3 linked regions of the Rattus norvegicus genome follow. The protein of the gene in region 1 binds, or shares a complex with, the protein of each later gene. Links are inferred from orthologs where the notes say so. Each region holds a gene or a part of one and is shown on either strand. Other genes may lie near its edges.

The links.
Region 2: Cnot2 (region 1) and Cnot6l share a complex: the UniProt entries of both Homo sapiens proteins name them as parts of the CCR4-NOT complex. The link is inferred for Rattus norvegicus from reciprocal best matches to the Homo sapiens genes CNOT2 and CNOT6L.
Region 3: Cnot2 (region 1) and Cnot6 share a complex: the UniProt entries of both Homo sapiens proteins name them as parts of the CCR4-NOT complex. The link is inferred for Rattus norvegicus from reciprocal best matches to the Homo sapiens genes CNOT2 and CNOT6.

The regions. Positions count from the first base shown.
Region 1 is NC_086025.1:54,105,079-54,109,526, reverse strand, and holds the start of Cnot2 (CCR4-NOT transcription complex subunit 2), read left to right. Parts: upstream 1-1,566; 5' UTR 1,567-1,955; coding exon of another isoform or gene 1,956-1,960; intron 1,961-2,214; exon of another isoform or gene 2,215-2,865; intron 2,866-4,448. UniProt on the Homo sapiens protein: Component of the CCR4-NOT complex which is one of the major cellular mRNA deadenylases and is linked to various cellular processes including bulk mRNA degradation, miRNA-mediated repression, translational repression during translational initiation and general transcription regulation.
Region 2 is NC_086032.1:13,797,890-13,801,537, forward strand, and holds part of Cnot6l (CCR4-NOT transcription complex subunit 6-like), read left to right. Parts: intron 1-1,408; coding exon 1,409-1,621; 3' UTR 1,622-3,648. UniProt on the Homo sapiens protein: Has 3'-5' poly(A) exoribonuclease activity for synthetic poly(A) RNA substrate.
Region 3 is NC_086028.1:34,529,277-34,533,423, reverse strand, and holds the start of Cnot6 (CCR4-NOT transcription complex subunit 6), read left to right. Parts: upstream 1-1,297; 5' UTR 1,298-1,514; intron 1,515-1,695; exon of another isoform or gene 1,696-4,147. UniProt on the Homo sapiens protein: Poly(A) nuclease with 3'-5' RNase activity.

The sequences.
Region 1 (4,448 bases):
CAACCCCAATTTAAGATTTTTATGAGTGCATACATCATGTTGAGCCATTAATACAAGTTCTTAGCAAATGTTAGGTCATTCATTGAATGCTTTCCTAGCATTCCAGTTCCACATATTAATTTGCTCCACACATTAATTAAGAAAATGTTATCTCACCTAGTAAAACCCAATCATAGTAAAACTCAGACCTTCTCCACTGAAAGCAATTTTTAAAACTTGGACAAAAATGTGTTAAGTTAATATAGGTAAGAAGAGTAATGAATTCAAATATTTAATGTTATTTAATGTGATAATGCTACTATATACACATAAAGGGCTCCAAATAATTAGTAGCCAGATTAAGGTGCTCTGTATTACATGCATTCATACACAAGAACTGTACGTGCCTAGAGGTATACTCAGTCTTTGAACACACTACCTTACAGCAGTAGATGTTAACTTGAGAGGAAGAGAAAGCAGAAGAGATAGGAAAGCACTCTTGGGGGAGGGGCCATATAGGACTGTGTAGTTCCTTCTTGAATTTCCCTGAAGTAAAACCAAAACAAAACACAAAAGGGTAAAATGGAGTATTTAATGAAAAACCCAGCAAAATAAACCTTTTCTATTTGGCTATACCAGTTCCTGTTGATATTTAAACAAATTTACATATCTACTGTTATGCATATTTGCTGATAAACCAAAATACCTTCAAAACCTTGACAAAAGTACTTTTAATTTCATCTTGGGTTTTATCTTCCTTTTTCTGGCCTTCAACTATGATAAACCGAAGTGATATATATTGGTTGATTGGGGTGGGGGATGGGGCTGGAAGAAGGTAATTTTAAAAAAATAAAACAGCAGAAATTTTATTTACTTCAAATTAGTAGTAATCCACATTAATAAGTTCTACCACTCAAACAGGAATAGCAATGCGTTATGAAACTAGTAACTTCAAAACACACAGAGGCTTTTTTCGCAAGTTTAGTAACCATAAAACACGAAGTTTATGGATGTTCAAAGGAGTAAAGTAAGAGTATTACAGCAATGAAAACGAATTTTACTTTCAGGGATTGCACTGTTTTGGAGAACAAAACCCTGGAAGTTCCCACCACAGCCACCGTATTTTCAAAAGGTTTAGTGGATGAGCCAGCTGATCACTAAGGTTTACAAAGGGCGCGCCGGGCGGGAACTAAGTAAAATGCCATAAACATCGGACGGTTAGATTAAGCCCTCCCCGTGGTGCTTTAAAAACACGTTCCCCTTACTTCCTCTCACCAGGTTTGAACCGAAAAAACATATGAAAAGGAAGAGGGGGGGCGGCGATCAGACGCCCAGGTTCCAGCGGAGGGGAACTCACTGCTCAGGGGGGTGCCGGCGGCGTGCGGCGGGTGTTTGGGGGTGCGCACCCGGGAAGCGCAGGCTGCGGAACGACGATTGGACCTGAGTACCGCTGCCACTGCGCCGGCAGGTAGTAGTAGCACTAGCCCGGGGACAGACTGCAGGAGGTGCTCGGGGGCGGGGTGTCCGACGAAAACACAAACACAAACACGCTGTGCGTCCCCAGGTGGGCGGACCCACGCTGCCTCAGCATTTCCCCGCCCCCGCCCCCGAGGCCGCTCTCGGACCCCAGGCCGCAGCTCCTGGTGTGGCGGTCTGGCTTGGGAAGCCCGGCGAGGCCTCGGAGGCCCCACTTTCCGTAATCGCCACAAGGCAGCGCCGCACCTCCGCGGGAGGTGGCGGGACGCCTGGCGGAAGCCCGGGAAGGCTCCTGAGGAGCGCCGTGCTTCTCACCGTCGACCGGCGTTCGGGAAACACTCTGTCCTTGAGGCGAGCATCGCTCGCCACCTTCTGCCGCCGCCTTAGAGCGAAGTCGGAGCGACGGGGGTCACGGCGGGGGTCAGAGGGTAAAGGTCTTGCTCCCAGCAGCCTCCGCGGTGGATACGTCGCCATCTTGGATCCGCGGGACAAGAAAATTCATGCGGTGAGTTTTTGGCAAATTTTCGGAAGTCTGGCAGCGGGGCGCGCGGCGGGGGAGGCGGATTGAGGGCCCCCTCAAGGCGGGGGAATGCCTCGGGGCTGGTCCGGTCGCGCCCGGGGTCCGCGGGTAGCGTCCCGGCCCGCCGCTTCCCGTTGCTTTTGTCTCGGCTCCAATCGAGAGAGGGAGAGCGGAGCGGGCGGGGAGGGGGGTGGCGGCGCTGGAGGAGGGAGGGGGTGTGTGGCGGGGTGGACAAGACGTAAAGCGTCGCCGTGCTCGGGCCGCCGCCGCCGCCGCCGCCGCCGCCGCAGCCGCTGCAGCTCCGGAGCCTAGGCCCGGTCCTGGCTGCCCGCGACGGGGCTTTCCCGGTACTCCGCTTCCCCGGCTCCCGCCGGCGCGGAGCAGCCACTGCCGCCGTGCTGCTTCCTGGGGTAGGAGAGAAGGCGGCAGCGGCAGCGGCAGCATCCGAGGAGCCCCGGCCGCTTTAGACGGCTCTGCCACGTTCCCAGCAGCTGCTGGTCCTTGAATCTTCCCATTCTGGCAATACACGCGCATCCTCCGCCACTTGTGTGTTTTTGTTTGTGTAAGATGGGGACATCGCACTGGCTAACGGGCCTCAGGAGCCTCCAGGCCCTGAGATACCGAAGGGCCTTGCAAGGTAGAGGGAGGAGAGCAACTTAAGATGCTGCTTCTGCCACCGTACCCGGAGAGGGAAGCTTCTCTTGTGGTGTAGACTTGAGTTCGGATGGTCCTGGGGCAGCGGAGGAGGAACCGGAGACACTCTGAAGTTGCAAGCCCTGGTTTCTACTTCCGCCGGGCCCTCTCTACCTTTTGCTGTTTTAGGTCTTCACTTCAAAGTTTCATAGAAGAAATAAGTTGGGTTAAAAGAAACCCGATAGTTCTTAATTGAGGTACTGTTTGCTTAGGAGAAAGCTTAGAATCCTTGTTATCTGTAGGCCCTTAGGGGAATCTAATTGTACTTTTCTTTTCGTAAAATTATTTCTAAGGTTTTGTTTTTTGCATTTACTTTAGACCCCATTAGTATGTTATTACTTCCAAAAATATCTTACACACTTTCTTGGAAATCCTAGGGGACATCTCCACTTTTCAGCATCTGGAAAAACAAGTGTTAAGAGTGTTTTGCTTCATTTTCATTAAATTCTTAGCCAAGAATTTCTCTTTAATCATCTGGACAGTTCCTAATAAAATATAGCAATATGATCCTTAGATTCTTGGCGAATGGTAGAAAGTATGATACTGAGTTAACCAAATCTGTTCACAAGGGAGACATTTGATGTTCAAAAACACATTTTTCTATTATTCTCCATAGTGAGAAATTTTAAGGAGATGGAATTGTGTTCTTATAGATTTCCCTTTCCAAACAAATAAGTGAGGGTAATTTATATGGAGCGAGTGGGATAGAAATTTAAACTTTCACAACAGTTTATGTTTGGAAATGCTTGGCATATTCAACACAGTTCCTTCTCAAAAGTCACCTTTGTAGTTTTATAAGGTATTTTATTCCAAGTTGGAAGTGTTGTTTAAAAATCCAGTACACTGAAATGACTGTCTACATTCACATATTGTCTGTGTTGAGGTTTTGTGTCTTTGATATGTTTTCTTAATGATCCAAGATCATTAACAAGGATCCTTATGCTCTCCTATCTAGTCTGTTGTTATCTTAAAGCTAAAGGAAAAGTTCAAAATGCACAATTTCTTTTACTTTTCACTTTTACTGACTTTGCAGGATCCTTATTTTTAAAATGGAACCTTTTCATTTTTTAAAAAGTGACTTTTTTCTAAGTATTTTATAACTCTAGACCAGAAATAAAAACTGTATTTAGCTTTTTTTTCTTTGCATTCCTGTTAATGCTTTACTAATATACAGAAGTTAAGGTAGTGCATGTGTTGACAGAGCACTTGGGTTCTAAGATACAGTCTAGAGATATCTGTAACCCTACCAGATGCTAGAGGCTGAGAGTCATCTGCACATCAGTAAATGCAGCCTTTGGAAAATTCTGTTTCTAAAGTGCTTTAAAATAAATTTGTTTGGTGGAAAATGAAGCAGATTGATGTCTGTGAGTGGTTTTTATCCCAGCCATCTGAGAACTCTTTGATTTGAAAATGAAATCAAGCTCCAAATGATATGCTCCCTAAAATAATAATCACCTTTATTTTCCCTATATAAAGGTGGGTGCTTTTTGGTTTTTCAGAGATGCCTTAGATTTATTAAAACTTCAAAAATAAATATTTTATACTGCTGGTAAATTAGAAATACCAGTAATCCTTCTCTGCTCATTTCTTTTCTTTTTTTTTTTTTTTCCCCCCGGAGCTGGGGACTGAACCCAGGGCCTTGCGCTTGCTAGGCAAGCTCTCTACCATTGAGCTTAATCCCCAACCCTTGCTCATTTCTGAAGTAGGTGCTAATATTAGCAAAACTTAAACTTTAATGAATCATTATAGAATTTTTTTACACTCTGTGGGATAGTATAAG
Region 2 (3,648 bases), on another chromosome or scaffold:
AAAACTGCTTGGACGTTAATGTAGTTTTACTAGTACACAAATCTATTGATAGCTTGTATTGTTTTGATCACTTGTCCATGGCGACGGGCAGTTAAATATTTAAGAACTAGCTTTCTGAGGTTACTAAGCCTTGACTTGTAGTGTTTTCTGTGGATTATGTACTTTTCCAGTCTAATGTGATAACTTTTGTTGACATTGTTGCGAAAGGTACTGTTAAAGTTGGAAATCACTAGCTCTTGTATAATACTGTTTTTGCAGAAGTTGAAAGAAATACTTCTGTACTTAGTGATAGTTTAAATCCTATGTTTGTAATTATAATATATAATATATTTGCAAGCATACCCCAGAAGAACTAATAAAAGCCTCCTAAAAAAAAAGTGTTCAGTAATTAGCTGTAATCATTTTCTTAGTTATATGAGTAGATTAAGAGAAAATATTACTTTTTCCATTCTTTTTAGAATCTTTTTAAGTTGTCCATAAACTATAAAATAAACACAGTTTGGCATATTCATTTAAGCCATTTAGCTTGATCTTCCGAATATGTCTAAAATCACTTTCGATTTAGCTCAGTGGTAGAGCGCTTGCCTAGCAAGCACAAGGCCCTGGGTTCGGTCTCCAGCTCTGGAAAAAAAAGAAAAAAAAAAAAAGATTTTTCTTTAACATATCTTCAATGCGTCAGGTGTTGGGGCATATACCTGTAATCCCAAAGTGTGATAGGGTGAGGAAGGAGGGTCTTGAAGTCAAGCCCAGCTGGTTTATGTAGCAAGACCTTGTTCTATTAAATGAATAAATAAATGATTTTCACATGTAGAAATATTTCTTTCTACTTAAGTGTGGACTCTTTGCTGGGGGTAAATACTAGATTAACTGAAATTTATGCAGTTTGTGACAGTAAAGGCACATTAGTTTTGCTATTTACCAATCACATGAATTAAATCATCTAGCTTTGGGAAGTAGAACAAATGTTATATGTACAAGTATGTCTACATGTGCATGTGTCTTCTTGCTAATTGATATTTTTCTTCAGTCCAGAACTTGTAGAAATGAGTATCTTAAACTAAGCAAATTTAGACAGTTAACTGTATAGTATGTTAGACTTTACTAAACCAAGAAAGTCTGTTCTAGAAGTGCCTGTTTAGCATTTTTGCCTTATAATTTATGTACAAATGTAAAACCTTATGATACAGTCAACTGCTATGTTTCTCTATTGTTTTTCCATGTTTATTCATAATAGTAACCCATCAAAGATTAGAGCCTTGTCGAATCTACAGTTAGGGCAACAGGTACCAGGAATACGGGTTTCTTAGTTATTCAGCTTTTCCAAAGTAAGAATTGTTATTTTCATGGAGTTTTTCTCTTTTAAACATATTTTTCTTTCCCCTTTGTGCTATCCCTAATCTCTTTCCAGGGCGTGATTGACTACATTTTCTATTCCAAGACTCACATGAACGTGCTTGGTGTCCTGGGGCCTTTAGATCCTCAATGGCTGGTTGAGAACAACATCACTGGGTGTCCACACCCTCACATCCCTTCAGACCACTTCTCACTGTTAACACAACTTGAACTCCACCCTCCACTCCTGCCTCTAGTCAACGGTGTTCACTTGCCTAATCGGAGGTAGTGGAGTACAGTCCCGCAGAGACGGGGATCTGGCTATGGACCTGTACAGTTGTAAATCAAAGTATGTAGGAGTGAAGTATGGCCATCTTTAACGCTGCTTCTTCAGGTTCCTTTCACTATGTGTTTGCTGTAAGACTTTGTATATTTTTGTGCATACTGATATCATTTGGCACTAGGGCTGGAACCAAAGTATTACTGTCTGTCTCTATCCAAAAGCTTAATATACTTTAAAATTGGACTTATTTTCCTATTGTATTAGGAACCAACATTCACAACTGATAAATCACTAATTTGAGACCCCACACCAATGTTGTTCTCTAAAAACAAATACATTCTTTTGAATGTTTTCAAATAAGCCAATCATTTTTGTAAAAAGTGATTTTTAAAAACTCCAAATACAAGATTTTCAATTGAATGATGGTATGCCTTATAGGAAAAACTTTGAGTTTCTGTTTTGTTTCATAACAAGCTGATTTTTGGCTCTCAAGTCATTTGCACATTAACAAAGCACTTAAATTTGCTTGATTTGTACATTAAATATGATATAGCCACTAGCCCTAACAAGACAATTTGAGAAATGAAAGGTAATTGCATAACATGCTTTAAAATCAAGCATAGGATGTGACAGTTGGTTGGCCAGATGCTGGCTGTTTTGAGGAATCTTTCTTTTCTTTTCTCTAGTCTTTTCTTTTTTGTCTTACTATTAGTCCTAATCTTTTTAGAAGTATTAACTCCAAGCCCATCTCTCAAGTTCATTGATAAGGAAATAGCAGATAATACTGCCATACATCTTGAAACTAAAATTTGGTTTTTTTTTAGTATGCCCACAAAATTAGTGTCTGGTATTTTTCATTTTCGTGCCCACCCTTTTTTTTTTTTTTGGTCTGGTTGTACTGGAAAAATATGATCTATATCTTTACCACTACTGTTAAACATTTAAAGAAAATTGCTGAATGAAAAGCCCCTGGACAGAGTTTCAGAAAGGGAAAGCCAGATAATATTATATATGTTTTCCAAAGTAAGTAAATTTATTTGTTGTTTTGGGTTTTTTGTTTCATTTTAAGATAACAGTAGAAAGGATTTTGAGGAAAGAACAGATTTGGGGAAGTAATTGAAAACCTTGGATCATTTTTTTCTGACTCTAGCTGCCAAATGGCCATCATATGCTTTTAATCTTCGTTGCCATTTGTCTAGATCTGAATTAAGCTACTGTTTTATTCCCAAAGTTTGATGCCTCTAGATGTATTGGAAACCCCCCACCATTTGTTGTTGTTGGCCAGGAGGTGCCACTTGAAAATCTTAAGAGGCAGAGAGCATGAACACCATTTTGTGGGGAGAAAATTTGTTGGCAAAATTAGAAAATGTTAATTATGGCACAGTAACATTGGAAAAGGTTGTGTCTGTGTTTTTAAGTTTTTCTTTATTCTGCTTTTTTGCTGCTATAAGAGTTTTCTGAAATTTATATTTTAAACTTTTCATGCACTTTACTGTTTCTAGTATCAAAATGTGATATTTTTAATAAACAAGAAATTTTCCATTATGTGATGAAATTTTAAAAGAAAATAGCCTATATTTGTGTCTAATATATAAAGTACAAGTCAAATTTAAATTATTTAATTAGTTTTAAATATATACAAATTGTCTCCTCTTTCAAACGTGACAACTTAGGCTGTTTTATTAGTCTTAAACGATACATTTCCTGTGGTCATTTTATACTAATTTCTTCCATAGTTTACCGATCAGGCTATATAAAAGAATATTTCCCCGAAGGGTAATTTTAGTGGGGCGAGGGTGGTGGGATGATGTAGTATCACACAGGACTGCATCTGGAAGAGCTCTGTAAAGCCTAAACTCCCTTTTAAAAGTGCCTAGTGACAGAGGCGTCGTCATCTATTGTGATTGGAATGTCACTGTAGTTCAGCAAAGTTTGATGTAAATAAAATATTCTTTTAAAAATGTTAAAGCACCTGAATAAACAAACAAAAGAAACCCTTGATGACAGATTTTCCTCAGTGTTCAGGTATCCCT
Region 3 (4,147 bases), on another chromosome or scaffold:
CCCAACCAGGATACAAAGCATCCCCTTGTCGTATCCTACCTGTCCATTAGTCACTTGGCGGACATCTTGGTTATCAGATGAACTGTTGTGGTATTACAGTGTTAAGTTCAGCTAACCCTTGCATTAATTAATTAATAACGGCTCCAATGTATAAACTTGCACAATATTTGTAATAACTGTCCACTTTTGTTGTTCGTTCTTTTATTTACCTCATTGTGTCTAATTGACCATTTAATTTATTTATAAATTAAGCTGTTTTATAGGGATGCATGTATGGGAGAGTAAACAGTATATAAACTGTTGTTCTAAAATCAGTGCTATTAAGTCTTAGAACATGACCCTGAGGATAAGGTATAGAAAGGAATTGATGCCGTAAACATTCTGGGAGGTGAGGACAAGATTTGAACCAGACACTGAATGACTATTTCCTTGGTGAAAGATGCAAGTCTACAGGTCTAAGAATGGGAGTGACTCTCAAACAGAAGTCCTAAGGAATCCATAAGACACATAATTAGACCTCTCAAACCAACCTAAAAATCTTCAAAGCAGTTGAGAGAAAGCAGGCAAGTCCTTACCAAAGGACAACTTGAAACTGGTAGGCTTCTCTTCTGAAGTGATGGGTAGGACGACCGGCACCCCTCAGGTTTCTAGAAGAACCAAGACCCCCAGGCCCTACACAGGTCAAACTGTTGTTATGGAATTAAAGGCGAAGAGGACACTCTGAGTAAAGGAAAACATGGGAACTTGCCGCTGTCATCCTGGGAGCACAAAAGTCCTTGGGGCCACAGAGCTCCAGAGAACCAGGAATGTTGAACACACAGGGGCCACTCCACAATGGAGGAGGTAAACATACCTTTTTTTTCCCACCCAGAGGGCTGGGAGTAAATATTGTTAATGATCTGGTGACCCTTTGCCTGTCTGTGGAGGCAGAGCTCACCTACCTTTTGCTATAGAGGCAGACCTCACCCAAATCCCCTACAATGTTTATCCCAGACTCTTGCTCCCTAGCTCTCAGTTAATAAGAAACATCCTTAGGGGGGATGACACATGTACTTTATAACCTGTTGACCTCTAAGCTAACTCAGTCAGAGAGCACACTAGATTCCAGGCCCTTTAGCTATAGAACCCACTGTCTTGGTCACGTGTACTTTGCAAATGAGTTTCTAAGTAGTCACACCTCAAGCTTTATTGAGCACCTGGAATTGGAATGATTGTTGCCTGGAAACCTGGAATGGGAATGACTGTTGCCTGGACATTTTTTTCCAGATTGCACTGTGTTTTTAAATATGCTGACAATGAACTGCCTGGCATTGGACTCCCTGAAGTCTGATCCAGGTTGACAAAGTCAATGTGAACCAAGCTTTCATTCTCATCTCTTCGTGGGTTGGCTTTGCTGCCTGGACACCTGCAGGATCCCCCTCATTGGCAGACCTTCCTTAAAAGAATGGCTAAGGGAAGCTCTCCAGAACTGAAGAAAATGGTAGCTGACCCTTCTAAGAGGAAAACACAATGAGGTGGGTAAACTGACTTAAATGTAACAGACTCTTCCCCACATGAGTTCTCTTACTCATGTTTTATGGTTAAGGTAGGATGGTGTGGCTCGTTGGTAGACCATTTATCTAGTACCCGAAAAGCCTCTAATTCCTCCTCTAGCACCCCACAGGACAAAGGATATAGAGGACAAAACGGCGGCAGTAGGTTGTGATAAGCTGTTTATGGGTATGATACAGCACAAGAAAACTACAATGGGGTACAACTGCAACTTTAGGGAAACACAAGGAAGGCCAAGCGGCCAATAGGGAGTCCTGGGAAAGCAAAACAAAACAAAACAGACAAAAAATAGGCTGACACACAGAGCAAACAAGAAAAATGCAAAACCCAAACGTTTAAATGACTGACTTAGTCGTAGCACTTCAATGGTTGTGCTAGATGAAGTAGTCTGGGGGCTGGCAGAGGCCTCAGTGGTTAAGAGTGTGCACTGCTCTTACAGAGGACCCAGATTCAGTTCCCAGCCTCCTTGTCAGGCAGTTCCAGGGGGATCCAGTGTCTCTGATCTCTGGGCATCTGCATTCACATGCACGCGGCCAATCACACACACACACACACACACACACACACACACACACACACACACACACACACTTAGAAAAATGAAATAAATCTTGAAAAGAGAAAGAATGATGGGTTAAAAAAAACACAGTTCAGGGGCTGGAGAGATGGCTCAGCGGTTAAGAGCACCCAACTGCTCTTCCAGAGGTCCTGAGTTCAATTCCCAGCAACCACATGGTGGCTCACAACCATCTGTAAAGAGATCCGATTCCCTCTTCTGGTGTGCCTGGAGACAGTGACAATGTACTCATCATATATAAAATGAATAAAAAACAAACAAACAAACAAAAAAAACCACAGTTCAACTATATGTTACCTATAAGACACAAATAAAACTGTTAAGAGTTTGAATATGGGGCTAGAGAGATGGCTCAGCGGTTAAGAGCACTGACAGCTCTTCCAGAGGTCCTGAGTTCAAATCCCAGCAACCACATGGTGGCTCACAACCATCTGTAATGAGATCTGATGCCCTCTTCTGATGTGTCTGAAGACAGTGATGGTGTACCTACATACATAAAATAAATAAAATCTTTTAAAAAAGAGTTTGAATATATGTCCCCCCACAGGCTTCTACAATGGGGGTTTGGTGGCTAATAGGCTTCTGGGAAATAATTTGATCCTAAGGACTCTGGTCAAAGCAATTGGTTTTTCTTTCATGGATTCTCGATGTGAAGTCTCGATGTGTTTGGAGGTGGAGCCCAGTTAGAGGACATAGGTCAGTAGGTTGTGCCCGAGGAAGATGTATCTTGTTCCCTTACTCTGCTTTCTCTCTTCTTAGCCACCATTAGGTGGATGAGTTCCTCTTCCACATGCTCATGGTCTCTGCTTCATGCCAGGCCCAAAGTGATGGGTCCAGTAGCCATGTACTGAAGCCTTTGAAACCATGAGCCACCATAAGTTACTTCATGTGACTTCGCCACAGCAACAAAAACTGTCAGAGTAAGGAAAGGGAACAGATGGGGAAAGATAAAGGAGGCCCAGGCTGAAATGGAGTACTTCGCCAAATATAAGATTTGTTCCTTCAAATAGAAGAGGGGCCACTTCACTGGTTTTATGGGCCAGTTGTACTCTCATCTAAAGATAGCACAAGAAAGAAAACCATGAATCCCTATCTCTCCTAACTTATGTAAATAAACGCATGAAAACATTGGCAGATCAAATCTAAGAATGTACAAAGAGGATGACATTCTTCCACTGACAGGGATCCATCCCAGTTATACAAGGTGTTTCAGTATCTGAAGATCAACAGGAAAAGTCCTATGACTGTATCAACTTAAGCAGAAAAGCTGAAGATATGTATTTGTGATAAAACACTTATGAGAGAAACTCTGTGTCTGTGGGCAGGGGAGGTAGTAGCTTAGTTGAGTAAGTGTATACACGATTAGTGCATTAGTCAGGGCTCTGTAGAGGAACTGATTGAATGAATGGATGGAATGAATGAATGAGTGAGTGAGTGAAAGAATGCATTAAAGATTTATTTAATTATGTGTATGAGTGTTTGGCTTGTCTCTGTACCATGTGCGTGCCTCGTACCCAAGGAGGTCAGAAGAGGGCATCAGATCCTCTGATCCTGGAGTTACAGACAGTTGTGAGTCCATGTGGATACTGAGAATCCTCTGCAGGAACAATTACTCTTAACTGCCAAGCTCTCTCCAGCCCTCCTGAATCTCAGTCTTCTTTGGAATCCTGAAGTAGGTTCTACTACTAGAGAAGAAGCAGCAGGTTAGATGAACTTGCCAGCGGGAATGAGGGCAAGCAGGCAAAAACAAAACCCCAAAATTTCATTCTTCCATGCCCTTTATATAAGCTGCCACCAAAGTGTGGCCCAGATTTAGGGTGTGTCTTCTGACCTCAAATGATCCAGATTTTAGAGTAAGTCTTTCCACTTCAAATGATCCAATCAACAAAATCCCCTGGGTGCCCAACCTTGGATTTTAGTTATTTCCAGATGAAGCCAAGCTGGCAGCTGAGATTAGTTATCATGCCTAGCATGTGTAAGGTTCTGAGTTTGATACCTGGGACCACACAAGCCAGTGGT